Linked DNA regions of Ovis aries. The protein of the gene in region 2 binds, or shares a complex with, the protein of the main gene of each other region. Links are inferred from orthologs where the notes say so. Each region holds a gene or a part of one and is shown on either strand. Other genes may lie near its edges.

Region 1 (4,515 bases), on a different chromosome or scaffold from region 2:
CCTAGTGGTCCAGCAGTTAACACTCCACACTGCCACTGCAGGGGGCATAGGTTCGATCCTTGGTCAGGGAACTAAGATCCCACGTGGGAAGCACCCCCCTCTACCTCCCAAAATAGCTTCAGTTGGAGGAGATATGTCATGGCCTTTTACCATTTACCTCTGTGGTCATCCTCCCCAATACCCATATCCCAGTCTAATAACGAGAAAAATGTCAGGCAAATCCCAACTGAAGGAAAACCTACAAAATACCTGACCAGTACTCCTTAAAACTGCCAAGGTCATTCACAAAAAGAAAAAGTCTAAAACCAGCAAAGCCCAAAGGAGCCTAAATCTAACATAAGATCTTGGATGGAATCCTGAGACAGTAAAAGGTTATGAGGGAAAAAGTGACGAAATCAGAACAAAGCATGGACTTCAGTTAATAACAGGGGTACCCAGGTGGCTCAGTGGTAAAGAATCTGTCTGCCAGTGTAGGAGACGCAGGTTCTATCCCTGGGTCAGGAAGATCCCCTGGAGAAGGAAATGGCAACCCACTCCAATATTCTCGTCTGGGAAATCCCATGGACAGAGGAGTCTGGCAGGCTACAGCCCATGCGGTTGCAAAGAGTTAGACAGGACTATTGCTATTGGCTTATTAATTGTAACAAGTGTACCATACTAATGTAAGATGGTAATAATAAGGAAACTCGGTGTGTATACATAGAAACTCTGTATTACCTTCGCAATTTTTCTACTGTTATAAAATACAAAGTTTCTTTCAAAAGAGAGCGAGAGATTGAGATCTAACGTACATAACAACCAGATTAAGAGCATGGATCCTGGTTTATACAGAACAACAAAAAATGTCCGCTTGGGAACTATTAGAGAAGTCTGCCTAACTGGGTATTTGGTGACAATGGAATTATTAAGTTCATTCCCTATGAAGATAAGACTCCTTTCACTATGCAGAGAAATGTTATTTTTTAAAGACACATGCTGCAGAAAGAATGTTGGTTTTGTTTGCTTTTTGCAGGATCTCAGTTCCCTAACCAGAGAAGGCAATGGCAACCCACTCTAGTACTCTTACCTGAAAAATCCCATGGACGGAGGAGCCTGGTAGGCTGCAGTCCATGGGGTTGCTAAGAGTCAGACACGACTGAGCGACTTCACTTTCCCTTTTCACTTTCATGCACTGGAGAAGGAACTGGCAACCCACTCCAGTGTTCTTGCCTGGAGAATCCCAGAGACGGCGGAGCCTGGTGGGCTGCCGTCTATGGGGTTGCACAGAGTCAGACACGACTGAAATAACTTAGCAACAGCAGCAGTTCCCTAACCAGGGATGGAACCCATCGCCCCTACAGTGGAAAAGCAAAGTCCTAGTTGTTGGACCACTAGGGAAGTTCCAGGAATGTTGGTTTGCCCTCAGAATAAACTCCAAACTCCCACCCAATGCCTAGATCTGAATCCCTGTAAACTGGTGCGAGGTGCTCTCTAATTTAGCAGCACTAAATCCTTCTCTCTCATTTAGTACCACTCTGGGCTTCACTCACCACAATGGTGCCACATCAGCCTTCCTTCTGGCTCCTCCTGCTCTGGGGTCTTGGCCCGGCCTGTGCCTTCCCGCCAGGGCCAAACCAGAAGTAGTCCCTTCCTTCCCTTGCTCTTCTTCATCAGCCTGTTTTCTTCAGTGCCTCAGCTTCTTTTGTGTGTAAACCTTGTGTCTCTCTCTACTAGAATGTAAATTCCCTGAGGGCAAAGATCTTTTCCCAACTTGTTGGCCATCTCACCAGCATTTAGAACAATACTTTGCTCACAGGGTACCAGCCCAACAAACACCTGACGTGTGAATAAATCAATAGGTCTGAGACCAGAACAACTACAGGTGCCATAAGCCCTTCCGAGTGAACGCTATTTCTCTTGATGGTGAAACATATAAGATAAAGAGGTTTTAAAAGAGCGCTCAACTCCCCCGCCCCCACCCCGCCCCTCCAAGGGGCTTCAATCCATTCCCATTTATGATCTTACCTCTAACCGACAGGGAAGGTAGACAGGTAGAAATGGTCCTGGGCGTGGGTTCCAGGCCAGACTCAAGCCACCCGTGAACCTGTACGCTGTGTTGGCCGCGGAGGCATTACAGACACTACGAAAGTCTGCCTTCGCTGCTGAGAGACGGCCGAAGAGCCCTTTCCCAACAACTCATTTCTAACTCGTTACCTCATCAGGCACCTAGGAGAGCGCCCCATCCTTACCAATAGCAAACTCCACCAGGGTCTCATTCTCCTCCGACAGCGAATCGAGGAATAAATCCAAGACCTGCAGCTGCCGCAGATACTGGTAGTTACCGGGGTCATAGGCGAAGTTGGCGAGGTTGGCCAACACTTGCTCCTTGGCGTCTGCGATGGAGAAGCGGGCAGTGGCGCCAGGGTCGGGGCGGTGGTCGCGGCTGGACCCCGGCCCAGCCCCCCCTGCCCCCCACCCCGAGACACTCACCTTGGCTCTGCGTCTCCTGGAATTCCGTGACCAGCGCCTGCAGATACCCCAGCCGACCGACGTGGGGGTCTACCTTCGGCTTCTGGGCCATGGGCGGGCGGCGAGGGGCCCCGGGGAGCGGGCGGGAGAGTGTGGAAGGTTGAGGCTGGGGCGCGGGGCTAGGACCCCACCTGGCTTCGCGGGGCCGGGGAGGGGAAACGAATTCTCCAGCAGCTTGCAGCTGAGACTGGGCTGTGGGAGACGCGGTGGGGACTCAGAACCTCGTAGGAGTTGGGACTGAACACCTAAGTCGGGGACCAGGAGACAAGGACCCACTCTCGCGCCGCGTGAGGAAGGCCCGTCCCAGCTGGGCGGGACGTTCGGCTTGGTTCCGGACTTCCGGGGGAAGCGGCACTTGGCCACGCCCAAAGGGCCAAAGGGGCGGGGCGACGAGGCGAGGGGCGATGGGCGGGGCCGTCGCTGAGCGTGGGCCCGCTTCCAGCGTTTTGTCTCTCGCAGGCGGCGATCCGCCTCTTGATGGAAGTGGTGACTGAAGCCTGCGGTTGTGTTGAGGCGAGCCCCAAGGGCCCGTAGGAGCTCAGAGGTGCCGGGGGTCGCCTGTGTGGGGGACTGTCGGGGTAGAAGCACCTTCAGATGCACCCGCGCTTGGCGATGGGCCGCAGTCCCCGCCCCTCCACCATCCAGGGACGCCGTGGAAACGCGAGCGCCTGCTCCTTGTGTCCCCTCTGTGGCTCTTCTGACACTACCTTCTGGTCGGCTCTTCCCAAAAGCCCAGTGAGGACTTCCCTGGTGGTTCGGTGCTTAAGACTCTGCTCCCAGTGGAGGGGACACGCTTGGATCCCTGGTGGGGGAACTGTGACCCTGTATGCCCGAGGCGAGGCCAAGATGAAAACAAGTCAGCGCGCCTGGTATCCTCTGCTCCCCAGTCCCGAGCTGAGCCTGCCAGGTGGCGGGGCGCACCCGGGGCAGCACCATCGGACCCCAGAAATACTACTTTGGTGGCTTTCTGGGTTGTGGGGAGCCCAGAATGCTGAAGCCCTCCTATCTAGTCCTTTCTCAGTTTCTCAGGAAGGGGTCAGGTGACAGAGCACCAGGGAGGAAGGTGGCCCTCTTGGACTCCAGCGTGTTTCAAAATGTGGGGGTGGAAGCGGCTTAGGCTGTGAATTTCTGGAGGGCAAGGGCCTTGCGCAAGGACAGTGACTGCCACACTCCAGCTTGCCACAGCCCCACTGGGAGCAGCCCCCACCTGGTGGGCTCAGGTGGCTGTGATCAGCCCCAGCCCTATGCACACACCTGGGGCTTGGGGACCCTGGCTGCTTCTTGCAGGGTAGTGTCCCCAGGCCCCTCACCAGAACCTTCACATTTTAAGGAGAGCTGATTCGACCTGGGGAAGTCTATCTCAGCCCAATGTGGCCAGGGGGCTTCTCTGCTCCTGTCTGGATGGAGCAGTAAAGATCTAGGGACAGGACAGAAGTGGGCTCTACCCCACACTGGTCAGGAACTGCTCTGGACCCTCTCTAGAGGAATCCCAGGATCAGCCAAGTGTGGATTCTGGAATCTGATGGGCCATCACATCCTCCATTACTTGCCCCCTCCTAAGGCTTTGGAAAAGCCCCTGATGCTGAGAAAGATTGAACGCAGGAGAAGGGGATGACAGAGGATGAGATGGTTGGATGGCATTACCTACTCAATGGACATGAGTTAGGGCAAGCTCCAGAGAGCTGGGAGATGGCCAGGGAAACCTGGTGTGCTGCAGTCCATGGAGTCGCAGAGTTGGACACGACTGAGTGCCTGAACTGAACTGAATTAAGGCTTCCGAGGCCCTCACCTCTGCAAAGAATTCTTTAAGTCCTTGGTTTTGTGACCAGGTCTTACTCCTCTCTGCCCAGTTCGTGACACACAGTAGCTCAATATTTGTTGAAGGAATTCTGCCCAGAAATGATTGCCACTCTTGCCCAGGGTAGGGAGTGGGGGAGGGCAGGCAGAGGAGGTCAAAGTTCTCTATCCTAAATGTTTACTAATATCTTTTTTCCTTGAAAAGAAATG
Region 2 (4,464 bases):
CTTTTAGAACTAACACCCAAAAAAGATGTCCTTTTCATTATAGGGAACTGGAATGCAAAAGTAGGAAGTCAAGAAACACCTGGAGTAACAGGCAAATTTGGCCTTGGAATGTGGAATGAAGCAGGGCAAAGACTAATCGAGTTTTGCCAAGAAAATGCATTGGTCATAGCAAACACCCTCTTCCAACAACACAAGACAAGAATCTACACATGGACATCACCAGATGGTCAACACCGAAATCAGATTGATTATATTCTTTGCAGCCAAAGATGGAGAAGCTCTATACAGTCAACAAAAACAAGACCAGGAGCTGACTGTGGCTCAGATCATGAACTCCTTATTGCCAAATTTGGACTCAAATTGAAGAAAGTAGGGAAAACCGCTAGACCATTCAGGTATGACCTAAATCAAATCTCTTATGATTATACAGTGGAAGTGAGAAATAGATTTAAAGGACTAGATCTGATACATAGAGTGCCTGATGAACTATGGAATGAAGTTCGTGACAGGAGACAGGGATCAAGACCATCCCCATGGAAAAGAAATGCAAAAAAACAAAATGGCTGTCTGGGGAGGCCTTACAAATAGCTGTGAAAAGAAAGAGAGGCGAAAAGCAAAGGAGAAAAGGAAAGATATAAGCATCTGAATGCAGAGTTCCAGAGAATAGCAAGAAGAGATAAGAAAGCCTTCTTCAGCGATCAATGCAAAGAAATAGAGGAAAAGAACAGAATGGGAAAGACTAGAGATCTCTTCAAGAAAATTAGAGATACCAAGGGAACATTTCATGCAAAGATGGGCTCGATAAAGGACAGAAATGGTATGGACCTAACAGAAGCAGAAGATATTAAGAAGAGGTGGCAACAATACACAGAAGAACTGTACAAAAAAGATCTTCATGACCCAGATAATCACGATGATGTGATCACTCACCTAGAGCCAGAAATTCTGGAATGTGAAGTCAAAGTGGGCCTTAGAAAGCATCGCTACGCACAAAGCTAGTGGAGGTGATGGAATTCCAGTTGAGCTGTTTCAAATCCTGAAAAATGATGCTGTGAAAGTGCTGCACTCAATATGCCAGCAAATTTGGAAAACTCAGCAGTGGCCACAGGACTGGAAAAGGTCAGTTTTCATTCCAGTCCCAAAGAAAGACAATGCCAAAGACTGCTCAAACTACCGCACAATTGCACTCATCTCACACGCTAGCAAAGTAATGCTCAAAATTCTCCAAGCCAGGCTTCAGCAATACATGAACTGTGAACTTTCTGATGTTCAAGCTGTTTTTAGAAAAGGCAGAGGAACCAGAGATCAAATTGCCAACATCCGCTGGATCATCAAAAAAGCAAGAGAGTTCCAGAAAAACATCTATTTCTGCTTTATTGACTATGCCAAAGCCTTTGACTGTGTGGATCACAATAAACTGTGGAAAATCCTGAAAGAGATGGGAATACAGACCACCTGACCTGCCTCTTGAGAAATCTGTATGCAGGTCAGGAAGCAGCAGTTAGAACTGGACATGGAACAACAGACTGGTTCCAAATAGGAAAAGGAGTACGTCAAGGCTGTATATTGTTACCCTGCTTATTTAACGTATATGCAGAGTACATCATGAGAAATGCTGGGCTGGAAGAAACACAAGCTGGAATCAAGATTGCTGGGAGAAATATCAATAACCTCAGATATGCAGATGACACCAACCTTATGGCAGAAAGTGAAGAGGAACTAAAAAGCCTCTTGATGAAAGTGAAAGTGGAAAGGAAAAAGTTGGCCTAAAGCTCAACATTCAGAAAACGAAGTTCATGGCATCTGGTCCCATCACTTCATGGGAAATAGATGGGAAACAGTGGAAACAGTGTCAGACTTTATTTTGGGGGGCTCCAAAATCACTGCAGATGGTGACTGCAGCCATGAAATTAAAAGACGCTTACTCCTTGGAAGAAAAGTTATGACCAATCTAGATAGCATATTCAAAAGCAGAGACATTCTTTGCCGACTAAGGTCCATTAGTCAAGGCTATGGTTTTTCCTGTGGTCATGTATGGATGTGAGAGTTGGACTGTGAAGAATTGATGCTTTTGAACTGTGGTGTTGGAGAAGATTCCTGAGAGTCCCTTGGACTGCAAGAAGATCCAGCCAGTCCATTCTGAAGGAGATCAGCCCTGGGATTTCTTTGGAAGGAATGATGCTCAAGCTGAAACTGCAGTACTTTGGCCACCTCATGCGAAGAGTTGACTTATTGGAAAAGACTCTGATGCTGGGAGGGATTGGGGGCAGGAGGAGAAGGGGACGACAGAGGATGAGATGTCTGGATGGCATCACGGACTCGATGGACGTGAGTCTGAGTGAACTCCGGGAGTTGGTGATGGACAGGGAGGCCTGGCGTGCTGCGATTCATGGGGTCGCAAAGAGTCGGACACAACTGAGTGACTGAACTGAACTGAACTGAACTTTAGTATTAACCGCCGACGGAAAAAGTGAGATCAACCAAAATACAGCCCTTGTCATCTCTTTTCACTCCTTCCACTCTCACCCGGGGTTGACTCCTATTACAGCCTTCAGCACAGCTTAATCATCACTTCTTGCGCTGGAGACCCCTCACACGAGCCCAGGAAGCCACGGCCTATTCCTCTGGGGCTCAGGAGCCTTTGCAAGGCTGCAGTTCTACCCTTACGCAGGGTAGCTCGTAGCCCGCTCTACCCGGAGCCCCAGCGACTAGCGAGTGTCTGTTTCAGCGTGTCTGTGCTGAAGAACCTCTCTCCTCCCCCAGATAAACACTTTTTAACACGACGACCACGCGGACGCGGAGGTGACCCCCATCCCCGGCTGGCCCTCCCCGCCCGCGGCCCCCGCTCAGGTAGGGAGGACCAGCTCCCGGGACCACACGCCTCCCGCCCCAGGGACCACACGCCTCCCGCCCCAGGCACCACCAAGGCCGGGCCAACCCCATCCCCGGCCTCCTCCCACAAGGCCCCGAGCCGCTCACCTTGGCCACTTTGGGGATCCTTTGCTTCCCGGCAGCGGTGGAAGCCGCCATGGCTGCAGCGGCGACCGCGGGCGAGCCCGGGACCACAGAACCTTCCCCGAGGGCTCGCCCACACCGCGCAACTTTCCGACAACAAGCGGGATCCCGGAACCGGAAGCGGAACTGGCTGGGGCGACCTTTGACCTCTTTCCCGCGCCGTGACGGAGTCAACGTCGTTTCTGTGGTAACCGGGCTGCGCGTCCTCTTCGGAGCCTGGGACTCGGGAGTTGCAGGTGAGGTGAGGAGTGCTGGCTGCATCCGGGCCGTCAGGGGCACATCCTCAGATCGCCTCTGGGATTAGGATGACCGTGCGAGGACGGGTGGATCCGTGAAATCGCGGTATCCCGCAAGGGGACAGGAACCCGGCTACCGTGCGGACGCTCGAGGGCGGGGGTGGGGTAGAAAACTACCTCCTGGCATACCTAGCGGCAAGCTGCTGACCTCCTCGGCCGCCCTGAGCTGGGGTGCATTCTGGGCTTTGTAGGCCCGAATGGTCAACTGCCCCTTGGTTTCCGGACAGTTGTGACCAAATAATTCTATGGCTTATAAATGAAAGTGACTGAAGGAATTTTAAAGCCAGATAACAGAAAAAAGTGAAAATAAATCATCGGAGTACTAGCAAATAACCCAGCCTTATAATGTCAGATAAGCAATGTAATATATCAATCTTAAATAATATCAGATAAACAGATATTTAAAATTTTCTGTCATTGTGTCTTAATGTCAATTTTCGTAGCGCCAGTTCGCTTAACTTTTGTTGTTATTGAGTCGCGAATTCAGGTCCCACTCTTTGCGACCTCATGGACTGTAGCACACCAGGCTTCTCTATCCTCCACTATCTCCTGTAATTTGCTGAAATTTATGTCCGTTGAGTCAGTGATTGCATCTAACCATCTCACCCTCTACCACCTCCTTTTCCTTTTGCCTTCAGTCTTTCCCAGCATCAGGTCTTTTCCACTGACTTGGCTCTCTGAATATAGTGGCCAAAGTATTGGAGCTTCAGCTTCATTCCTTCCAATGAACACTCAGGGTTGATTTCCTTTAGGACTGACTGGTTTGATCTCCATGCAGTTCAAGTGACTCTCAAGAGGCTTGTCCAGCACCACAACTAGAAAGTATAAATTCTATGGTGATCAGCCTTCCTTATGGTCCAGCTCTCAAATCTGTGCATGACTATGGAGAAAACCATAGCTCTGACCATACAGACATTTGTGGCAAAGTGATATCTCTGCTTTTTAATATATTGTCTAGGTTTGTCATAGCTTTCCTTTCAAGGAGCAAGAATCTTTTAATTTCATGGCTGCAGTTATCATCCTGCAGTGATTTTGGAGCCCGAGGGGAAAAAATATCTGTCACTGCTTCCATGTTTTCCCCTTCTATTTGCCACGAAGTGATGGGACTGGATGCCATGTTTTTTTAATGTTGAGATTCAAGCCAGCTTTTTCA
Region 3 (4,696 bases), on a different chromosome or scaffold from region 2:
CAGTTTTAGATTCGCAGTGCAAACTGGTCTGCACATCAGAAGTTGTTTCTCACTGCCTTTTGGTCAAAGCCTTAATTCCTCAGCATGGACACAGGCCTTTCAGGATTCACTTACTGTCCCCTTTATCTCAGATTCACATGTCAGCTGCTGTGTTGTGGTTATATTACTCACAGTTCCTTAAAATGCATGACGCTCATTTATTCCTCTGGCCCATCTTTCCATCTGTTCCTCTCCCTTTCTGGGTAATGTCTACTTTCCCTTCAGAACTCAGCCACCATTCTCATCCTGCAGGAATCTTCCATGAAATAACATCTATCCCTTCCCAGGCAAGATTACATAACATTCTGTAAAGAAAAAACTTCGTAGCTTATAGTCACTAGACTGGGAAAACTCTAGGAGGGTAAACTCAGCAAAATGCCTGACACATTGGAGGTGTTTAGTAGTAGGCTTTACATACCTTTATTTTTAGTCATTCTTGCTACATAAGCATTCCTCTCTTGTAATTTCTTTCTGGTTTCTTCAACTGTTTCAAATTCTGGAGCATAGCACACATGAAGCAAGCCACCAAAGAAACTCTGCTCATCCATTTTTCTCTTGGCCATCCTAAGCAGAAATTCACGATACCATGGTTTACTTAGGGTGAAAGCTTAACCAGCATACAATGCATTGATCTAAAAAGCAAAGTCCAGACTTTGTTGTATACATAAATCCTATAGCTTCGGAGCTGCGATGCTCTGCACGTGAATGGTATTGACCCTACTGATCCACTGCATATTCTTTCAGAGCCTTTTTCCCCCTCTCCCAAGAGTCTTCATAGGTTTTAAGCTAAGTTTTCCAAACATATCCAGACTCCCTTTAACCAACATAAGATTCAGCTGGTTGGCCTGAGGTACACAATCTGTGGTCATGAAATAGAGATTCTGTGTTAAAAGGCCCTCAAAAATTAGCTCATGCCCAGCTTAGCCTTTTTAGCACAATGTGTTCCTATAATGGGGTTCAAAGATAAGAAATTAATAAAAATATTACAATTATAAACATTTAATAATGGAGAAAACACAAATATATAACAGTAAATGAGAAAAGGAGAGGATAGTATTCATTTAATGTATACTTACTAAACATCTATGACTGGCCAGGAATTACTACGAAATTAAGTACTTCTGTGTCCAAGGTAAATGGTAAGAAATATTCACTGAGATTTTACCATGTGCCAGGCAGTGGCCTAAATGCTTCACTTGAAATCACACTTCTCAACATCCCTATGATGACTCTGAGGCATGGGGAGATTATTTGTCCAAGCTCACCTTGGTTTGTGGAGCCAGGATTCAAATCCACATGTCACACTGTAAAAGGGGTGTGGGAGATGCAAAAGCTTCATGGAATGAATACACAATAAGGAAATATACTTCCCTAACCATGAGGAGCTGGCAAGTTGGTTAGGGCAGTGAGATTATACATAAGAGCAACTGGAGAACAATATATGACCCATATACCCCAGTACTGTTTGTAGCACAGAAAATGTGAATTGTAATAGCCAGGGAAGGGATGGGTCTTGAAGCAAATTAGTGACAAGAATATAAGATGAGGCATTTCATATTTCCCTTACTACAGCAGAGGATTTATGCTATTCAGAAGAAAAAAAAAAAAAGATGGGGTCAATTCATATAGGTGCATAACAAGAAACCTAACAGCTAATGTTGTTTACCGCATTCTGAGCAGGAGGCATCTGCTAAGCCCTCTACATGGATTATCTCATTTCATCCTTACACATTTTATAGGACAGGAAAACAGGTTTAATGGGATTAAATAACTTGTCCAAGGTCATCATGTTAGTAAGCAGTGGAACCTGAAAACTTAGTCCAAACCCAGTTTTTAATCTACCACACTACAAGACAGAAAATGGTTACACATGGGGATGACCTAATGGACAGACTTTTGATAAAGCTAACACTTACATTAAGAATACTGGAGAAAAATAAAAAGCCATGTTAGATTACTGAGTAATTCATGAAAGAATGAGGGAGGCCAAAATGATAGCAATGGGAACAGAGGAAATGAGACACTGCCTGACTTGTATATTACCTTGCGCTTTGTAAATTGAGAAATTTAATAAGATAAACTTCTGTAAAGTCTTCTGCTGGGTATTCATCTAGAGCATTATACTGTTCAATTGCACCATATAGAGCAAATCGCTCAACTAATTCCTTCATTGCTCCCACGGCAGGAACTCCTTGTATTAATAAGTACCAAGACTCCAAATTGATTGTATAGACCTAAAAGAAATGCACACGCATTAAATGTGTTTCACAAACAAGCCTAGGACAACCTGTTACTATTCAAAACAAACAAACAAACAAAAACCCTGAAAACAAGAACTACTCTGTTCAGGTCTGCAGAAAAGGTGTTTTTGTTTTTGTTTTTAATCTGCCCTTCTCTTTGTAGAAACAATAAGTCACCCTACATGTGAGGGCTTCGAGCTAAAGCACATAATAGACTACCTCCAATCGACATGTCTTCAGAAGCTGCCTCGGTAAATGTTACAGGAAAGAGTTAAATATTCACTACTGTAAACACGGAAGATACGACTAAAACACATACCCCGTTTTCACGGAGCTCCAACAGTTGACTAAAGAGGCCGCGAGAGTATCTGCTACCTGGGTACCGGCGTCCCTCACACTCATCTCCAGCAAATGGATGTGACCGCAGCCTTTCAAGACTTTATTTACATTAACTGGGCGTGTGAAGCTACAGCTTACATAAAGCTACCGACGACAACGAATGAAACCAAAATCACTTTACCTTCACAGCGCGAGGCCGTCGGCCCTCCCGATACTTGGCTCTCGAGTCACACACAGCCCTTTGGACGTGGTGATCGAATACGCCCCCAACTTGCCCTCCACTGGACGCCATCTTGCCGGCTTTGGCCCTCGCAGAGACGACAACATCCGCCTGTTGCCCTCCTGATTACCCAATCAGAGAGAGGGATGGGTCAAGGCGCGCCGAGATTGGCTGAAGGAGCCACAGGGTTGGCCATCGTTTCCTGTGAGCAAGTAGGCGGCGAGCGAGCTGCCGCCCTCCAGCGGCGCGGCGGAGAGGCCCGGCGAGCCGGACTGGGCTGGCCTGCCGCTCCAGCTCCCGAGGCGCGGCGGGCGCGAGGGGCGGGGCCTGGGGGCGGGGCCGATCGAGCGTAGCAGGCCCGGTCACCCTCGGTCCGCAGGCAGCCCGGGTCCGCTGGGGTGGGCCTCCGGCGGGGCCGTCGCTGGCGGAGGATGTGGGGCAGCGGTCGGCTGGCGGGTGCTGCTGGCGGGGCGGCCGTGACCGTGGCCTTCACCAGCACGCGCGACTGCTTCCTTCACTTGCCGCGGCGCCTAGTGGCCCAGCTGCACTTGCTCCAGGTAACGCGCCCGCCCCATGGACTCCCCAGCCCGGACTCGGGACTCCTCGGGGGCCGTCTGCGGCCGCCCGGGACCCAGGCCTTTTCGGGACGCAGCGGCCGCTCGGGCGTCTCCCGACGGCGGGACGCGGGCTGCTCTCCCCGCGCCGCCGACCTGTTCATCAGCCAGAACGTGGGCCGCTCTGGAGCAGGGCCGGTCCGGGCGGTCTTTGCAGCCCTACCACGTCGGGTGCAGCCCCGGGCCTTTGCGTTAACTTGCCGTACGTATTCCAGGTCTTCACTCGGTGAAACTGGGCTCTCAAACATCCTGATAATTTTCTCTCTGAGTTCAGCTATTCCTCACTCCAGGTTGGAAAAGCTTTGGAGAAGTCGGGTTTGTCTGCGGATTTTGTTTTGTTTCGATCGTAAAAAACGTTTTTCCTGCCAGTGGTTTCCAGGTGCGCCTGCCTGGCTGTGGCCCAGGAGTCCCTGTAAATTAATAGAGACTGAGCCGCGAGCGAGATAGGTTAATAAGATGAAGGTTCTCGCTGCGTCTCCGCTGCTCGGAATACCTCCTAGGTGTGCCCGGAACGTGCAGTGGGATTATGCATACTTGGACCTCTGCAGTTAGTTGCCCTCTGGACATTGTGATTGTGGTAGTTCATAGTTCTAACCACATCCCTAGTTTCGTAATTATAAAATAGGGGCACCTGGTCTACCAGTTTGAGTGTGCTATGAGGACAAAAAGAATACTTGAAATCTTTGAAAATCCTGGATGCACAGTACCCACTACGGGCTAATCCTTGCAGGAAATATTTAGGAGTTTGCAATAATTTTAAATATCCCACCTCTCCATTTTAGCTACTTGCCTTTAACTACTTTTCTAGATTGTTTTTCCCCAGTCTTTCAAAGCATGTTAATTTCAATAGATCCTGCCATTGTTGCTTTTACTATAGAGAGTCTCTTGGAGCTTCCCAGGTGACAGCTAGTGGTAAAGAATCCTCTGGCTAATGTAAGGGATGTAAGAGATGCCGGTTAGATTCCTGGATGGGGAAGATCCCCTGAAGGAGAAAATGGCAACCCAGTCCAGTATTCTTGCCTGGAGAATTCCAGGAACAGAGGAACCTGGCGGTCCATGGGGTGGCACAGAGTCACTGAGCATCTGAACAGCAGACAGTCTCTAGGCTCTGATGAGCTATCCTTCATGGCAGGAGATGAGTTAGTATTGTCACCAAGTCCTAGGTAGATCCTGCCACCTCTGTGCTCTCCATCAGCTCTGATGGAAATTTAAATCATCACCTCAGGAGTTTATTGGAAACACTT
Region 4 (3,901 bases), on a different chromosome or scaffold from region 2:
TTGTGTTCTTCTAGAAATGGGGGTGAGAGGGGAAGTCCAGTATAGTAATCAAGGAGAGTGGTAGGAATGACATTGGAGAGCGAGGAGACAGAGCCAGAGACTTTGCTGATAGATCGTGATTGTGTGGGGAAGGAGCATGGAGGGCTGTTGGTCGAGGGGAGAAAAAGAATCAGGGTGACTTCTAGGTTTTTTGCCTGAGGAACAGGGTGGATGGTGGCACTAATTATCCAGCTGGCAGAAAACAGAGGAAAGTGTCTTGGGTGGTTGGGAATCTAGAGTTGCTATCTAAGTGAGAAGTTCTAGTAGGCAGTTACGTATGTGGAAGACATAGGACCAGAAAAGTGAAGCTCCTGATTCTTTTAGTGTGATCAGCAAAGACATGGTGTTTGTGTTAGTTGGATATGCCTGATGCTTGGAGCTGTTTTGTATGAGGGAATGAAAGTTGAGATAAATGTGTGTACCATTTTCTGAACAGGTCCCCAGCCAAAAAGAAAAACAAATCCTCAGGGAGAAGAAGCAAGTCTCCCCGGAGTAAGAGAAGCCGAAGTCCTCACCACTCAGCAATCAAAATAAAGCAGGTAAGTGGACTGAGATGTTTTCGTACTGGCTCCAAACCTAGAGCCTCTCCATCATAGCTAAAGTGGTGTGTGTGTGTTTTCCTGTACCTGCAGTGGGCTTCTCCAAAAACTGGGCTTTTTTTTTTCTTTTTTCTTCTTTCTTTGTTAAACTTTTTATTTTGAGATAATTGTTGATTCACATGCAGTTGTAAAAGGTAATACAAAAGCCACAGTTTGTCCCAATAGTACCATCTTACAGAATTATAGAACAATATCCCAACCAAAATGTTGACATCAGTTCTGTCAAGATACAGAACATTTCCATCACCACAGGATTCCTCAAGTAGTTCTTTTATATCACACCCAGTTCCCGCCTACCCTTACCCCTCCAACTCCTGGCAGCTTCTAGTCACTTCTCCATTTCTGTTATTTTGTTTCCTCAAGAATGCTATGTAAATAGAATCACACAGTATGTAGCCTTTCTGGATTGGCTTTTTCCACTCAGCTAAGTTCTTTTGGAATTCATTTATATTGTTGCTTTTGTCTGTAGTTCCTTCGTTTTTATTGCTGAACTGTAGTCAATGGTATGGATTTAACCATTTGTCCATTAAAGTGTATCTGGGTTGTTAGCAGTTTTTGGCTATTAGACATAAGACTGCTGTGTATACATTTCTGTACAGGTTTTTGTGTGAACATAGGTTTTCGTTTCTCTGGGATAGATGCCCAGGAGTGCAGTTTGTAGATGGTATGGTAGGTGCTTTTTTTTTTTTTTTCCTAAAACATTAATAAATTGTTTTCCAGAGTGCTGTGTTAGTTTGCCAGGTCTTCCATAACAAAATACCACAGACTGGTTGCCTTAAACAACGGAATCTAAGAGGCTAGAAGTCAGAGATCAAAGTTTCAGCGGTTTGGTTTCTCCTGAGGCCTTTCTCCTTGGCTTGCCTTCTTTGTTGGGTCCTCATAGTCTTTCCCTCTGTGCTCGCCCATCTCTGACTCACATCTTCTTTAACCACATCAGCCATATTGGATTAGGGGCTTACTCATTTTAACTCAATCAGTTCTTCAAAGACCTTACCTGCAAAAAATCTGGTTACAGTCTGAGGTGTGGGGGTTGAGACTTCAGTATGTAAATTTGGAAGGGGCGCAATTCAGTCCTTACAGTGGCTATCCCTTTTTATAATGTGAGTGATCCAGCATTTGGTATTGTGACCATTTTGACCATTCTGATAAGTGATAGTGATACTGTGATTTTAATTTGCATGTCCCTGGTGGCTAATGACGTTGGGCATCTTTTCATGTGTTTATTTGCCATCTGTGTTTCCTCTTAGGTAAAATGTCTCTTCAGATCTTGTGCCTATTTTCTAGTTGGATTGTTTTGGGTTTTTTTACTACTGATTTTTAAGAGGTTTTTTTTTTTTTGGTAATATATTCTTAGATACCAGGCCTTTTTGGAGTGAGAGGTTTTCCAGTATTTTCTTTCCGTCTGTATCTTGTCTGTTCATTTTCTTAAAAGAGTTTTCCTCAGAGCAAAAGTTTTTGATTTGTTTGGAGTCCAGCTTGTCTGTTTTTCCTTTTACAGATTATGCTTTTGGTGTTATGTCTAAGAACTTCCCTGACCCTAGAACCTGAAGATACGTTTTTCTTTAATATTCATTTAAGTCCATGATCTGTTTTGAGTTTGTTTTAATCTAAGGAAGGAGCCTTAAATCAAATTTCCTTTTTCGCCCCGTGGATATCCATTTACTCCAGCACTAGGTGTGGAAAGACAATTTTTCCTCCCTTTAATTGCTTTTGCTTTGTCAGAAATCAAAAGTGTGTGTGTGTGCCTTTATTTCTGGGTCCTCTGTTCTGTGCCATTGATCTGTCATTCTGCCAGTACCACAGTCTTGATTACTGGAGCTATATAATAAGTCTTAAAATTGAACAGACTGGTTCTTTCACTTTCTTCGTTTTAAAAATTGCTGGGACTTCCCTGGTAGGCCAGTGGTTAAGACTCTGAGGCATAGGTTTGGTCCCTGGCTGGGCGGAACTAAGGAGGCACATGCCACAGGACATGGCCAAATAAATAAATAATTGTTTTAGGAATTCTCGTGCCTTTATCTTTCCACATACATTTTAGAACAATCTTGTTTGTATCTATTGAAAAAACTTGCTAGTATTTTGATTGAAATTGTGTTAAACTTGTACTTTTTGAAAAATTTTAAAAAATTATGTAGCGTCTTCCAGTCTTTGAATATAGGTGTATCTCTGTTTATTTAGATCTTTGATTTCTTTTATCAGTGTTTCAGTGTACAAGTCCTGTATGTGTTTTGCTAGATTTGCACTTAAGTAATTTTTTTAAGTTATCATTAAATGATGGCTCTAGTCCATGGGGTCGCTAAGAGTCGGACACAACTGAGCAACTTCACTTTCACTTTCATGCATTGGAGAAGGCAATGGCAACCCACTCCAGTGTTCTTGCCTGGAGAATCCCAGGGACGAGGGAGCCTGGTGGGCTGCCATCTATGGGGTTGCACAGAGTCAGACACGACTGAAGTGACTTAGCAGCAGCAGCAAGTGATATTTTGAATTTCAGTATTTACTTGTTCATGGCTAGTACATAGAAATATGATCCATTTTTGTATGTTTATCTTACACCCTGTGGCCTTACTGAACTCATTTATTTGGCCTAAGTAAATCCCAACCTAAAACTTGGGATTTTCTGCATAGATAGTCACGTCTGCACAGGGGCAGTTCTGTCTGTCTTCCTTTCCAGTGCATGTTCATTTTATTGCCCCTTGCTGCATGGCTGGGACTCTCGCACTGAGTGGAGCAAGAGCAGTCAGATCAGGCTCTCCTGCCCTGTCCTCATTCCTGAGGGACAGGCGTTCAGTCATCGTCTTGTGCTCTTTCCTCCAAGTTTTATTTAATTTTTGACAGTGCTGGGTCTTTGTTGCTGTTGTGGACTGGAGAATCCCAGGGACGCGGGAGCCTGGCGGGCTGCCGTCTGTGGGGTCGCGCAGAGTCGGACACAACTGAAGCGGCTCAGCAGCAGCAGCAGTGGACTTTCTCTAGATGCAGTGAGCAGAGGCGACACTCTTGTTGTGGTATGCAGGCTTAGTTTCCCTTGTGGCGTGTGGAATCTTCCCGGACCAGGGATCAAACCCGTGTTCCCTACATTGGCAGGCAGACTCTTAACCACTGGACCACCAAGGAAGTCCTCAGTCCTCTGTTTAAAGAGCCTCTGGGTTACAACGTGCAAATAGAGACACTGGCATTAAGGAAATGGATTTTCCTATGAATTTGAGCCAACTTCTGCTACCTAAAAAGATTCAAAGCCAGTCCTGATGATCTTTTGTATGAGT
Region 5 (3,901 bases), on a different chromosome or scaffold from region 2:
TGACCCAAGATAGTCTTCTCATCTGCCTCCAGGATGATGAAGACCCAGCAACCATCCCTCAGACTCACCTTCCAAGACCTGGCCTTCATCTGTCCGACACACACAGGTGTCTGGGCTCAGGACGTCTTCAATTGTCATCTGGGGAAAGGGTCAGCAGATATGAGAATGTTAGCTAAGGGGACCCATTCCCGGGGGGAAGAAGCAGACCCAGGTGTAGGGTTCCCACCTTGGTGTTGTAATACTGGCCGCCCTTGTGCAGCTTGTCCACAAACCGCACTCGCAGATCCCTGTGCAGCCAGTGCTGACTCCGGGGGGCTGCCTTCTCATTCTTGGCTGCAGGCCCATCCTGTCTGCGGAGAGGGGTCAACACCAGGCATAGCTCTTTATGGGGGGCATGTTCCAGTCACCCCACCTTTGCCGATGTTTTGAAACCCACCCATAATGCCATTCCTAGTTCCTTCTAGGCACCTGCCTTGCCCTGGAAGCCTTCTCTGCTGGAGCCTCCCCACAGTTCTGCCCCTACCCCTACACCTGAGATGCTCAGTGTCCCACCGGTCTGGATGGTGTTTCCGCTTCCTCTCTGAGTCCTCCCAGCATATGTGGCTGTCCTGATCCTGGAGGGTCTTCCGTGATGAGGTTGTTCTGTGCTGTTCCCCAGGGGAAGTTCTGCTCACCTGACCTGTTCAATAGGGTGTGAAGGGAACCCAGAAACAGCCTTGGTATCTCACTCGCTTCCCTTCCAGGCCACACCTCAGCCTCAGGCCACCTCTCATCCGCCAGAGTACCCCGGCTCACCATCCAGCCTTTGCCTTAGCTATTAGAACACTGCCTGCCTCCTCTCAGCTGTCTAACCCACCTCCCATGTGCCAAAATGGCCCATCCATGCCTAGAATGCCTTCCTCCCCATCATGCCCTAGTCCTAGCTGTTCTCCATCCCTAGCAATGGAGCAGTCCACCACCTGAGAGACAAAAACTTTCCAAGGGTAGGAACTGGTTTCCATTCCTGTTGCTTCCTCCCTAGAAAGAGGCTAAAGACCCAGGGTTACTAGAGAAACTTCTCTTCAGTCAAACTGCATAAACCACTATGTTCACTCTCACCTCTTAATTCTGATCAGAAGTCACCCTTGCCATGCAGACCAATGTCCCATCCCTCTACAGATCTAACTCTCACCCCCAGGAACACTGCTCCAACTCCCCCAGATGAGTAACAGGCTCACTTACTCAGATTCAAGTTCTTGTCAAACTCCTTCTGGGAGACAGGCCGCAGGCAATACTCACTAACAGTCACCATGCGGCTCCCCACAGCCAGACGGACCATGGCTCGAACATTGTCAGGATCAAGGCCTTCCACCTAAAGTGTGTGTGGGGGGGGGTAGGGCGGGGGGGAAATAAGGCAGGGGTTGAGTGGACTTGACCCATGTTCCTAGGACCAAGTTGTCCACCCTTATCTCTAATAAGCGTCTTATCTCTAATATGCGTCTCTCCCAGCAGACTGAGGCTTGGATACATTTTAAGTATCTAATCCTCAGGGACTTGTGGCAAAAGGCATTCTCTCCCTTTTAGTTGAAAACTGAGGCTCAGAAAGGCCTGGCAAGTAGTCCTTAGTTACGGAATGAGATGTGGGTCTGGCAGCCCTAAAAGACAAGGACTTCCAGCCTTTATACTCCACACCCAATTCTGCCTCCTTCTGACCCTCACGTCAATCTTCCCTGCTGCCTGTTTTTTGGCTCCAGGCACATCAAGGTTCCTTACCTTCCCATAGAGGCCTCGGTGGGGGCCAGAAAGAACCACCACAGCTCCTCCAGGCACCAGTCCTTTAGGCTTGTCTTCCTTATCCTTCTCTTGCTCCTCATCTGGCCTCGGCAGGCGGCAGGGGCTGGTAGGGGCCAGGGCCTGGACCTCGGTCAGGTTGGCGCCCAGTCCTAACCCCTTGGGCCTCAGTGAATTGACACAGGGCTTCACTACTCTGCAGGGAGCACAGAATATGGACTTGTTGGGGGGATGCATCAGTCTTCAATGTCTTGTTCCCCACCACTATCCCCAACCACTACTAAACTCCCATCCTATCAACATGTTCAAGAACATCCTTCCCAATCTCATATTAGGACTATTTATGACCTACAGAAATGGCAATTTCATTTGGTTCAACCGAATAACATGCTGAGTATACCATCTATGACATGGTATCTAGAGTGGATTCTGAGACAGGTCCCAATAGCCAAATATACCAATATTTCTACATGGGAAACTATTCACACCAAACAAGATAAATAGACTGTAAAATGCTCACTGTCAATTCACGTCATATTTGGCTGCCAAGTATTTCATGAAAAAAAAAGTCTTGTTTTCAGAATTCTTTGGAATGGTAGAGAAGGGATTACAGGTCTGTATGATCATGACAATATCAAGGGTTTAGCCTATGCTTATCTGTGGCCAAGGGCTACTATAAGGGCTTTATGTGTACCATTTCACTTAACTTTGAAAACAGTGAGGTCAGTACTGTTATTATCTGCATTTTTCAGATGAGTTAGCTGATGCCCAGGGAGGCAATGTTTACATAAATAGGATCTCTTAATGGAGTTTCAAAGGGCAAACAGGAGGTTATAACAGCAGTGGAAGGGACTATTGAAATACTTAGGGTGGTAACGTGCCCTCTCCCTGCCTTGATGGTTCTGGGTGGGCGGTAATCATGGGGGGGGGGGTCTGTTCCCTGGCCCATCAGTTGTCCCCTGGTCGGTCTGCTGTCCCCTGTCCCTACCCGAGAAACTCACTGACTGAAGGTCCGGCCGATGCCCTCGCCAGGTTTCCAGCCCATGCCCCGCAGCATGGCCAGCCCGTAGGCCTCTACAGGGACTGCCTCGTAATCAGCCTCCTCCGGCACCTATGGGTTTAGGCAGAGGAAGGACGGTCAGGCTTGGCTTACCATGGGCCCACTGAAGTGTACTTGCTATCACCCACTGAGTGACACTTGAGGCTTCTTTTCCAGTGAGCTCAAGGGTGAGTTTTTCTTTCCTCTCATCATCCCTCACTTTATTCCTCCATGTTCAGTCCTTGGACAAATATTTATAAAGCATCTATTCTGTGCCAGCTACTGTTCCAGGTGCTGAGGATAAAGCAGTGAACAAAACAGACAGAAACTCCTGCCCTTGTGTGGCTTACATTCTAGTTGTGGAGACAGAATAAATGAAATGCCTAAAACATGATATGTCAGGTAGGGATAAGTCAGATGAAGGAAAATAAAGCAGGTTAAGGGGATGCAGAGGGATGGAGAAGGGAGTGTCACCAAGTTGATATTTGAGTAGAGACCAAAGGAGATGATAGAGGGAACCCTGAAGATACAGGAAGAGTGCTCCAGAGAGGACAGTAAAAGCAAAGGCCCCAAGGCAGGACAAGATCTGTTGTGTGTGAAGAGCATCGTGAAAGCCAATGCGATTGAAACAGATGTGGAGGCAAAGAGGGGTGGTAAGAGATTAATCAGGAGAGCTGGCTAGAAGCCATGATAGGATCGCAGCTGCAACGGGACCAGTGAAAAAGTTACTGCAATAGTCCAAATGAGAAATGCTGGTGGCTCAGACCAGAGGAGTTGTGGAAAAGAGAGATGACGGGATTTTGCTGACAGTATATAGGGTATGAAATGAAGGGATTCAAGGATGACTCTAAGGTTTTTAGGCTGAGTGAGAGGAAGGATGGATGGATCTGTGATGGACTGAGATGTGGAAGGCTCTGAGAGGAGGGAAAATCAGGGAAAGGAGGCCAAAACTGGAACAGGATGGAGAGTGAAGTGAAGGTCTTTTTTAAGATGAAAGAAACCCAGAGGTTGTCTGAAGACTGAGGAGAATGGTTCAGTTGAAAGAATCTCTCCGCTTTGGGGCTGTAGGAGAACTAGAACCCAAATAAGCAT
Region 6 (4,650 bases), on a different chromosome or scaffold from region 2:
GGAGTGTATTTCTCCTGATTTAGAGAACAGCAACTCTTCTAACTTATGCCTCCAATTTGATACTCTGTTGCTGAAGTTTCCAATGTATGTTACACTAACTCTCTTTCTTCACTTGCTCTCCCATTGCCAGATTTTAATTGCTCAAACACGTTAAACTTACTTCTGCCTCAGGATCTTTTGTTGTCCCCGACTGGAGGCCTCTTCCCCGAGATCTTTCTGTGTGTGGTTCCTTTCCAGTGCTTTCTCTCCAGAAAGTTGTTCCTGGAACACTCAAGCCCAAGCAGCACCCTACCTCTCTTTTGCATTTGATCAACACTACTTTTTTCCCTCAAAGAACTTATCACTATCTGAAATTACGTTTCTTATGTATTTGTTTAGTTTGTCTCCCCTGCTCTGCCACGAGAAAGGCTCTGTAGTGCAGGAACCTTACCAGTGTAACATGACACTGTTTCCCAGTCTCTAGTTCGTTTAATGAATGAATGATTGAACGAATGCTTCCAACAACCCTGCAGGGTACAGGTTATTGAAGAAAGTAGTTTTGATAATGGTCTTGGACATTAAGACCAGTTGCAGTCGCGGCAATTCAAAGAAACCCAGGCTGATATTCTTGCCAGACAGAAGCACACTATTAACAATCTGCAAATCTCCTTAGTTTCCAGCTTACTCATTTACTCAGGAAATACTGCGTCAGGTACCGTCCCAGGCACTTAGGAAACAGTACTGAACAAAATAAAAAATGAAGCTTGTGTTCTAGTGGGAAGGACAGAAAAGAGGGAGGGTGAGCAGAAACAAGTAAAACATATAGACGGTGGCATGTGTTATGGAGAAAAACAGAGCAGCAATGTAGATGAGCACAAGGTATGGCAATTTAAAATGGGCTGGTCAGGAAAGTGGAAAAGTGTTATCTGAGCAGAGATTGGGAAGAGCTGAGTGTATAAACCATGTGGACACTTGGAAGAAGAGTATTTCAGTAGAGAGCACAGCAAATGCAAAGACTTTGTAGCAGGAGCGTGGAAGCCACTGTGACTGGAGAAAGGTGAGCAATGGAAAATTGGTAGATCAGAGAGATCAAGTGAAAGAGGGCAAAAGATTGCCAAGATTTCAGTTTTACTCTGACTGACGTGAAAAACCATGGCAAGTTTTCAGCGGGGGGTAATATGATCTTATGTTTAGAAGGATTCCTCTGGCTACTGGTTTGGGAATAGACTGAGCATCCATAAACAGAAACAGGAATTCCAGTAGGATCCTACAGCCATAGTGCCAGATGAGACAAGTGAAGTGAAAGTGAAATCGCAAAAAAAAAAAGGAAAAGTGAAGTCACTCAGTCGTGTCCGACTCTGCGACCCCCTGGACTATAGCCTACCAGGCTTCTCTGTCCATGGGATTCTCCAGGCAAGAATACTGGAGTGGGTTACCATTTCCTTCTCTAGGGGATCTTCCCGACCCAGGGATCAAACCCAAGTCTCCCACATGGCAGGCAGATGCTTTAACCTCTGAGCCAACAGGGAAGCCCTAATGGCTTAAACCAGGAGCTAGTGATGGAAGTGGTAGAAAGTGTTAGTCACTCACTCAGTCATGTCCAACTCTTTGTGACCCCCATCAACTGTAGCCCGCCAGGCTCCACTGTCCATGAGATTTCCCAGGCAAGAAAAAAGGAGTGGGTTGCCATTTCCTTCTCGAGGGTATCTTCCCAACCCAGGGACTGAACCTGGGTCTCCCCCATTGCAGACAGACTCTTTACTGTCTGAGCCACCAAAGAAGCTGGAAGGTGGAAGAAGCGGTAGTGAGTCTGGATATAGTTTGAGGGTGGTGTCAACATTTGCTAACCAGCTGGTTGAGGAGTTGTGGGGGGCGGGAAGACATATATTTTGTCAGCTGAGCCTAACAGGATAGAAGCAGAGGTGTGATCACTACCTCAGTTTTACAGGAAATGTAGTTAAGAGCATGGATTCTGAGTTTAAAAGCTGTTCCTGGTGGTTTAGTCACTAAGTCATGTCTGACTCTTGCGACCTCACTGACTATAGCCTACCAGCCTCCTCTGTCCATGGGTTTCTCCAGGCAAGAATACTGGAGTGGGTTGCCATTTCCTTCTCCACGGATCTTCTGACCCAGGAATCAAACCCAGGTCTCCTGCATTGCAGGGAGACTCTTTACCAGCTGAGCTATGAGGGAAGTCCTATCACTTACTATATAACTTTGTTTTCCCGTCTACAAATTAGGATAATAATATTTCCTAACTCTTGGGAAGTTACCGAGATTAATGCAGTTTTCATTTACACAGCACAAGGGCTCAACGGATGGTAACTATTCTTTGGTTATTACTAATACCAGTGCAGAGAAACAACGGGAAAAGCAAGTTTCCCAAGTCCCCAAAACGAGCCAGCGGCATTCATTTCCCCCCTTCCCTCATTCATTCATTCATTCATCCATCCAATCTTCCAAGTTTTCTGAAATTTATCGTTTATTCTATACTGGATCCCTGGAACATTTAAGAAGTCAAAACCCTGGTCTCGGTTTTTAGCTCAAGATCCTCAATTCTTAATTCTAACACCTCCTCACAGGGCGGTCAAGACGCTGAAAACGCGCGTCAAATGGAGAAACGCAGGGAGAATCGCCGGGTGTACGCCGCTTTTACCGTGTTTTTCTGCTTTAACTCCTAGGAGAGAGAGTCCCGCTCCGGCCGGGAGTGTGGGTTAAGGGCCGCGCAGGATCACCAGGTGCTGAGGAGAGAGGAAGATGAGCTGAGGGCCGAAGGCCGCCTGCTCCTTATACTCACCGCTTGCAGCAAAGCTCCCGGCGCCGCCTGCTGCTGCCCGGCTCCAGGGCCCGACCCTGCCGCTCCCAACAGTAATTCATGTCGCTGCCGCTTCACTGGGACCAGTGGCAACTCTGGGCCCTTACGCTTCTGCTGTTCTATCATGGCGGCAGCCGCTATCCTCAGGCCGCCACTGACCGCGCCGACCCCCTCAGGTACCTCACGATTGGCTCGGACTTAGTCTTTCCCGTAGAACTTCCGGCCGATAGAACCCAATCGACTTCCAATATACCTCTCAGCACCGCCCCCTGAGAACTTTCCTGTTATTGGCCAGTTCTTTCTGACATCACTAGAGTACGAATTCAGGATTGGTGGATAGAGCTGGAGTCCCGCCTAGGCGCGCTGTGTCTTGTGGGTGGAAGCTCACTGACTGGGTTTTGGTGTTTCGCGCAATGCTGCGAGGGAAAGACCAGAAGCAGACAACAAGTAAGTGTAAGGAAGGTCGAGGGGCGGGTGGCTGTGGGATCTGGAGTGGTCTGAGGCTGGCTCTTCTCAGATGCAGGTTTGATTGCAAGGGGCAAAGGGGGCCCCGAGTTCCTAGCTCTGGTGTGTAGTAGCCTGGGTTCCAAGCCTAAGAAACGCGGGTTCGATCCCTGGGTGGGGAAGATCCTCTGGGGAAGTGCATGGCAACCCACTCCAGTGTTTTTGCCTGGAGAATCCCACGGACAGAGGAGTCTGGCTGGCTACAGTCCATGGCGTCGCAGAGTCGGACACGACTGAAGCGACTTAGCACCTAGCCTGGGTTCCCTTTCTAGCCTGGAGCAGAGTTTTGGGAGCCTCTGCTCAGCCTGGGGCCCTCGATGGCTGACTTCTTCAACAGTGTTTTCCGTGCAGAGCCCTAGCCCAGGCGATCCCAGGGAGAAAAGGCCCATCTCCTAGCCTCCATCAGGGTCCTCTCTGACTGAAGAGGCGGACTTGTCACTGCCATGATTCCGCAGCCTTTACTAGCGCCTCCTCAGAAAGATAGAGATGAAGGTAATGTCCGACTCTTGGCCTCCGGAGTACAGTTTTGTTGAGAAATTCGAACTCAGACCTGTGAACTAGGCCTTCTTCTCAGTCGTCCAACTAATATTTATAATACAGAGCACTGGGCAGACATTGTGAACCAAACATGGTCCCTGACTTCAGAGCTTTAAGTCTGGGGTTGGGGGGAAATAGATGCTCACCAGATCTCACTAGGAAATGGGAAGTATGGAAGTGTGTGCTACCTAGGAGAGGTACCTGGTGTTAATGAGTGCCTGAATAAACAGGACGGCTTCTGTAAGGAAAATATGCCTGAACTGATAGCCTCAGGGAAGAATTATAATTAGTTGGGTGAAGCAAGGAAGGCAGAATGTTCCATCTAGAACAGCATGTGCAGAAGTCCTGTGGCAAATGCGAGGAAAATGAGTAAAAGGCACAAAGAGGCCATTGTGGCCAGGACAGAAAATGAAGGGGAGTGTGGTACAAGATGAAGCTGGAGGCGGGTAGAGGCCAGACTTTGTAGCTTTTACTTTAAGATTAATGGGCAATCACAGGGTTCTGTGTGTGTGTGTGTGTGTGTGTGTGTGTGTGTGTGTGTGTGTGTGTGTGTGTGTGTGTGTGTGTGTGTGTGTGTGTGTTTTGCTGGGTGTAGGGAGTGGTGTCGTGGGGAAGGCAGCTTGATGCCTCAGGTTTAGTAGTGTGAATATACTGGAGGGGAAGTAGATGCAGATAGAGCACTTTGTTGAGAGTTGCTGGCAGTGAAGGCTGGGATATTGGTGGAACTGAGAGCCAGAGATTTCCTGGACTCCTTTGCACCTAAGATGAGAATTGAATTTAGAAGTGAGAGGAGGAGGGTGAAAGGTATCCCATTT
Region 7 (3,653 bases), on a different chromosome or scaffold from region 2:
GCTCCAATACTTTGGTCACCTGATGCGAAGAACTGAGTCATTAGAAAAGACCCTGGTGCTGGGAAAGATTGAAGGCAGGAGGAGAGGGGGATGACAGAGGATGAGATGGCTGGATGGCATCACCAACTGGATGGACATGAGTTTGAGCAAGCTTTGGGAGTTGGTGATGGACAGGGAACCCTGGCATGCTGCAGTTACTCTGAGCTTCTTAACTGAACTGAACTGATGTGACCTTGGGCTAGACTGATTTACAAATTTTAATGGGAGTTCAGGGAGCCTTAAGTACAAGGAACAAATAACATCCTTTGGCTCACTGGTGCTGATCCCTCATAGAACAGCAGTTTTCAGTTTTAATGTTTTTGCAGACATTGACTTTCCTTACAGTGCTGAATTTCCCCCCCCCCCAGCTCCATGTTCAACCTCAAAAACCCAAAGCTTTGCAAGGAGACCAAACATCTGATGAAGAGAAAGATTTTTGAGACCCTCACTGCCTACTGAATAAAGTAAATAAAAGAGAGGAAGTTTTGTCTAAATGTTTTTATTTGAAACAAATAGCTGCACCAAGCAAGAGCTTACTTTCCCCGCTCCAAATCAACAGCACAACAGGGGCAAACATCATTTGGCAGGACAGTTCCAATATGTGAACATCCTTCTTTCTACTTGCTGTGATTGGGGTCACTTTATTCATAAGCAGTCATTTTTAGACAAAATATTAACCCCAAAGTACTAATGTCTCTTGAAAGTGGCCTTAATTTCACGTGTGGGGCAGTATTTTCTATAAATGCCAAAAGGTGGGAGAAGCACAAACACAACCCATTTTTAAAAAAACTAAATAATTCAAAGTAGAATTTTTCCATACCCCCCTCCCTCTCCTGTAATAAAAAGTAGTGCTGGGCTCTGACACCCAGATTTGGTTTTTATCCTGGCCATGTACAAAGTGTTCCCCATATGACTTGCATCATTAGGGTTATCAACAACAGTTCGTTCACTCTGAACAAAGTATCTACTCCTTCCTTCTCTTTTTGCCTTCATGCTCATGTTCCTTGGGACGGCTGCTATCTGAGGGTCTTTTAGAGCCACCGTGTTGCTTGGCTTCTTCCAAAAATTTGTCCAAACCGAAAGGATCCTCCTCAAACTGAACTGGTCCTTCTCGGCCTCTTTGTCTACGGTCTGAACCAGAAAACTCCTTATCGGGAACAAATCTAGGGAAGAAGAGAAATGGCTATGAACCACTTTATTTTCACTGGTGTAGATGTTAAAACTGAGCGGTCTGCCCTGGTACCTGTTAGTCTTTATTCTGGCTTCTAGGTCATCTCCATACATGTCCTTGTCCAGATTTTTACTGGGCCTGTAGATATTCTGGGCCATATCTTTTCCACCTCTCCAAGCTTGATCATAAACATTGTAAATTTCATCTTCCCCACATCCAAAACCACTGTCCATACCCTGTGGAAAAATAGACATTAAAGTATGCAAGTTTTTATTATAAGTTGAATCAGATTACATTCTTAGGAAGAGTAAACCCTTGCTCATTTACAGCTTACATGTTCAACAATCTGAACTACAAATTAAAAAGGTTATTAAAAAATGGTCACAGGAGGGGATATATGTATAGCTATGGCTGATTCATGTTGAGGTCTGACAAAAAAGTCTGTAAAGCAATTATCCTTCAATAAAAAAAAAAACGGTCACAGTTACTCTTTTTTCTTCATATCACCTTTGGGTCCTTACATTAAATATGGTACTCATTAACGACTGTTTTAGCAAAGTGGTCTTTAAAACTGGAGGATACTAGTATAAGCAGGCACTTGACAATCCATTTGTGCAGACACAGTGGCAAGATGAAAGAACTGCAAAGCATTTTATCTGATGCCATTTATAGTAATGTTAAACTCCTTAACTGTGTGAGAACACTACTGAAGTGTAACACAATATTCTCAATGAAAATCTCAAGTCAACAAACTTGTTTTGTGATGGTTAATATAAGAATGTGCCTTTTGATAAAACTTTTCCTCAACTTTTTTTTTTTTTTGGTTTCGAAGGTAGACTTTGTTATTCACGAAACGGTATCCTGGGGTGTGAGGGGTCATGGTCTCTGTTGAACCATGGTTATGGCCTAGAAGCGGGAAGCCAGGCCCTGACTCAGCTGGTGCAGAGTAGGGGCGAGGACCTGGGTTCTCCTGATGTGGTTATAGTCGTGCTGGGGACGTATGTACCCTGTCACCCCCCTGGTGGGTCCGTGAGTCTGTCCTGCTGTGACTCGGATACCATGCTCTCAGCATGTTTGCTGGAACAATCCGCAGGGTGACTCCCAGCCTTGCAGGAGGAGATGGGACCCCTCTATACCCCAGAAGACATTTATACTTCTGTATTCTCAGCACAGTCTGCCTTGTCTTTATTTATATACATGTATCTGTCTTTTCCAGTAGACTTGCAGGTTCCTTGAGTGTTAAGACATGTCTACCTTTGATCTCACTGACTTACATACAGTAAATCATCAATGTTGGGTGAATTAAAACATAAAGGGACTGCCTCAGGCCTAAGGTGTTCTAGCTAGTTAATGACAACTGATACTAGAAATCAGACTTTCTGATGAGTACTTTGGTTTTATAGCTTCATTTTTCAAAGATCCCAAGTTTGTGTTTTTATAGCATAAAAAAATTATTTTTGCAAATATCGACAAAAAATAACCCAAGAGACACTTTTATAGGACACTGGCTCTATTCTAGAAATAAAAGACTCACATACCAGAACCAAGTTTTACTACCTAATTTCTTTCATTTTCTAACAGTGTCTCAAATCCTAGCCAACTCTAAGAGCTATTCTAACTTGTTTCTTAAGTTACAATATGCAACTTCTGATTTTTTTTTCCCCATCACACCAGCATACCTTAGGCTGATGCAAATGTCTCATATGCTAATTTTCTTTTCCCTGAAAATTGTCATTTGTATCAACACTTAAGATATGCTATTTCTAAAAAAAAACAAAAAAAGATATGCTATTTCTAGACTCTGTGTACCTTGGATTGGTTGAAGAGCCTTTGGTCATACTGAACTTCATTGGAAGTCCGAGGGTTGGGCACGCCAAGAGCAATGACTTCACTGATGTCTCGATTTTCATTTCTCTGTAGTTTCGACCTGTTTTGAAATACCATGCCACAAATTGAAACTTCTTCACAGACAAGATGAATTTCAACTTCAATACAACCATTATCAGAAGCAGAGGAAATAAATATGTCCAGTTCACATCTTATGAACATATATATTCCTTGATAAGGCACAATTAGGATGCCATTTCTTATAGTATTTCAGATACATGATTATTGGAAGAGACAGGGTTTTACAATTAGGCATTCCTGATACAGAAAAGAACTGCTAGAGATTTCTTTTTTCCCTTGAGGAAAATACAGGACTACAACATTATAATTTGACATCTAAACACTACACAAAGTGATCACCACCAAAGTGTAGTTACTGTCAATCACCATACAATTGACCTCCTTCACCCATTTCACTAATTCCTCAACCTCCTTCTCTGGTAACCACCAGTCTGTTCTATCTATGAGTTTTTGTTTTGTTTTTTGTAGATTTCACGTGAGTGAAATCACACCCTGTTTCTCTTTCTCTGACTTACTACACTTAGCATACCCTCAA

The links.
Region 1: CRNKL1 (region 2) and ARMC7 share a complex: the UniProt entries of both Homo sapiens proteins name them as parts of the minor spliceosome. The link is inferred for Ovis aries from reciprocal best matches to the Homo sapiens genes CRNKL1 and ARMC7.
Region 3: CRNKL1 (region 2) and RBM48 share a complex: the UniProt entries of both Homo sapiens proteins name them as parts of the minor spliceosome. The link is inferred for Ovis aries from reciprocal best matches to the Homo sapiens genes CRNKL1 and RBM48.
Region 4: CRNKL1 (region 2) and SNIP1 share a complex: the UniProt entries of both Homo sapiens proteins name them as parts of the minor spliceosome. The link is inferred for Ovis aries from reciprocal best matches to the Homo sapiens genes CRNKL1 and SNIP1.
Region 5: CRNKL1 (region 2) and GPKOW share a complex: the UniProt entries of both Homo sapiens proteins name them as parts of the minor spliceosome. The link is inferred for Ovis aries from reciprocal best matches to the Homo sapiens genes CRNKL1 and GPKOW.
Region 6: CRNKL1 (region 2) and SNRNP40 share a complex: the UniProt entries of both Homo sapiens proteins name them as parts of the minor spliceosome. The link is inferred for Ovis aries from reciprocal best matches to the Homo sapiens genes CRNKL1 and SNRNP40.
Region 7: CRNKL1 (region 2) and SNW1 share a complex: the UniProt entries of both Homo sapiens proteins name them as parts of the minor spliceosome. The link is inferred for Ovis aries from reciprocal best matches to the Homo sapiens genes CRNKL1 and SNW1.

Annotation. Positions count from the first base shown.
Region 1 is NC_056064.1:55,673,410-55,677,924, forward strand, and holds the start of ARMC7 (armadillo repeat-containing protein 7), read right to left. Parts: upstream 2,818-4,515; 5' UTR 2,561-2,817; coding exon 2,470-2,560; intron 2,373-2,469; coding exon 2,229-2,372; coding exon of another isoform or gene 2,216-2,228; intron 1-2,215. UniProt on the Homo sapiens protein: As a component of the minor spliceosome, involved in the splicing of U12-type introns in pre-mRNAs.
Region 2 is NC_056066.1:39,181,845-39,186,308, forward strand, and holds the start of CRNKL1 (crooked neck-like protein 1), read right to left. Parts: upstream 3,132-4,464; 5' UTR 3,031-3,131; coding exon 2,980-3,030; intron 1-2,979. UniProt on the Homo sapiens protein: Involved in pre-mRNA splicing process. As a component of the minor spliceosome, involved in the splicing of U12-type introns in pre-mRNAs.
Region 3 is NC_056057.1:10,622,227-10,626,922, reverse strand, and holds the start of RBM48 (RNA-binding protein 48), read right to left. Parts: upstream 2,923-4,696; 5' UTR 2,911-2,922; coding exon 2,800-2,910; intron 2,274-2,799; coding exon 2,083-2,273; intron 2,077-2,082; exon of another isoform or gene 1,379-2,076; coding exon of another isoform or gene 1,305-1,378; intron 604-1,304; coding exon 458-603; intron 1-457. Other genes in the region: peroxisomal ATPase PEX1, read left to right, coding at 3,270-3,395. UniProt on the Homo sapiens protein: As a component of the minor spliceosome, involved in the splicing of U12-type introns in pre-mRNAs.
Region 4 is NC_056054.1:12,368,278-12,372,178, reverse strand, and holds part of SNIP1 (smad nuclear-interacting protein 1), read left to right. Parts: intron 1-475; coding exon 476-578; intron 579-3,901. UniProt on the Homo sapiens protein: Required for pre-mRNA splicing as component of the spliceosome. As a component of the minor spliceosome, involved in the splicing of U12-type introns in pre-mRNAs. Down-regulates NF-kappa-B signaling by competing with RELA for CREBBP/EP300 binding.
Region 5 is NC_056080.1:56,005,634-56,009,534, reverse strand, and holds part of GPKOW (G-patch domain and KOW motifs-containing protein), read right to left. Parts: intron 2,882-3,901; coding exon 2,772-2,881; intron 1,967-2,771; coding exon 1,753-1,966; intron 1,352-1,752; coding exon 1,222-1,351; intron 680-1,221; coding exon 553-679; intron 351-552; coding exon 227-350; intron 139-226; coding exon 69-138; intron 1-68. UniProt on the Homo sapiens protein: RNA-binding protein involved in pre-mRNA splicing. As a component of the minor spliceosome, involved in the splicing of U12-type introns in pre-mRNAs.
Region 6 is NC_056055.1:236,093,707-236,098,356, reverse strand, and holds the start of SNRNP40 (U5 small nuclear ribonucleoprotein 40 kDa protein), read right to left. Parts: upstream 2,951-4,650; 5' UTR 2,921-2,950; coding exon 2,777-2,920; intron 1-2,776. UniProt on the Homo sapiens protein: Required for pre-mRNA splicing as component of the activated spliceosome. Component of the U5 small nuclear ribonucleoprotein (snRNP) complex and the U4/U6-U5 tri-snRNP complex, building blocks of the spliceosome.
Region 7 is NC_056060.1:87,002,913-87,006,565, forward strand, and holds the end of SNW1 (SNW domain-containing protein 1), read right to left. Parts: intron 3,138-3,653; coding exon 3,020-3,137; intron 1,447-3,019; coding exon 838-1,446; 3' UTR 523-837; downstream 1-522. Other genes in the region: SLIRP (SRA stem-loop-interacting RNA-binding protein, mitochondrial), read left to right, coding at 408-479. UniProt on the Homo sapiens protein: Involved in pre-mRNA splicing as component of the spliceosome. As a component of the minor spliceosome, involved in the splicing of U12-type introns in pre-mRNAs.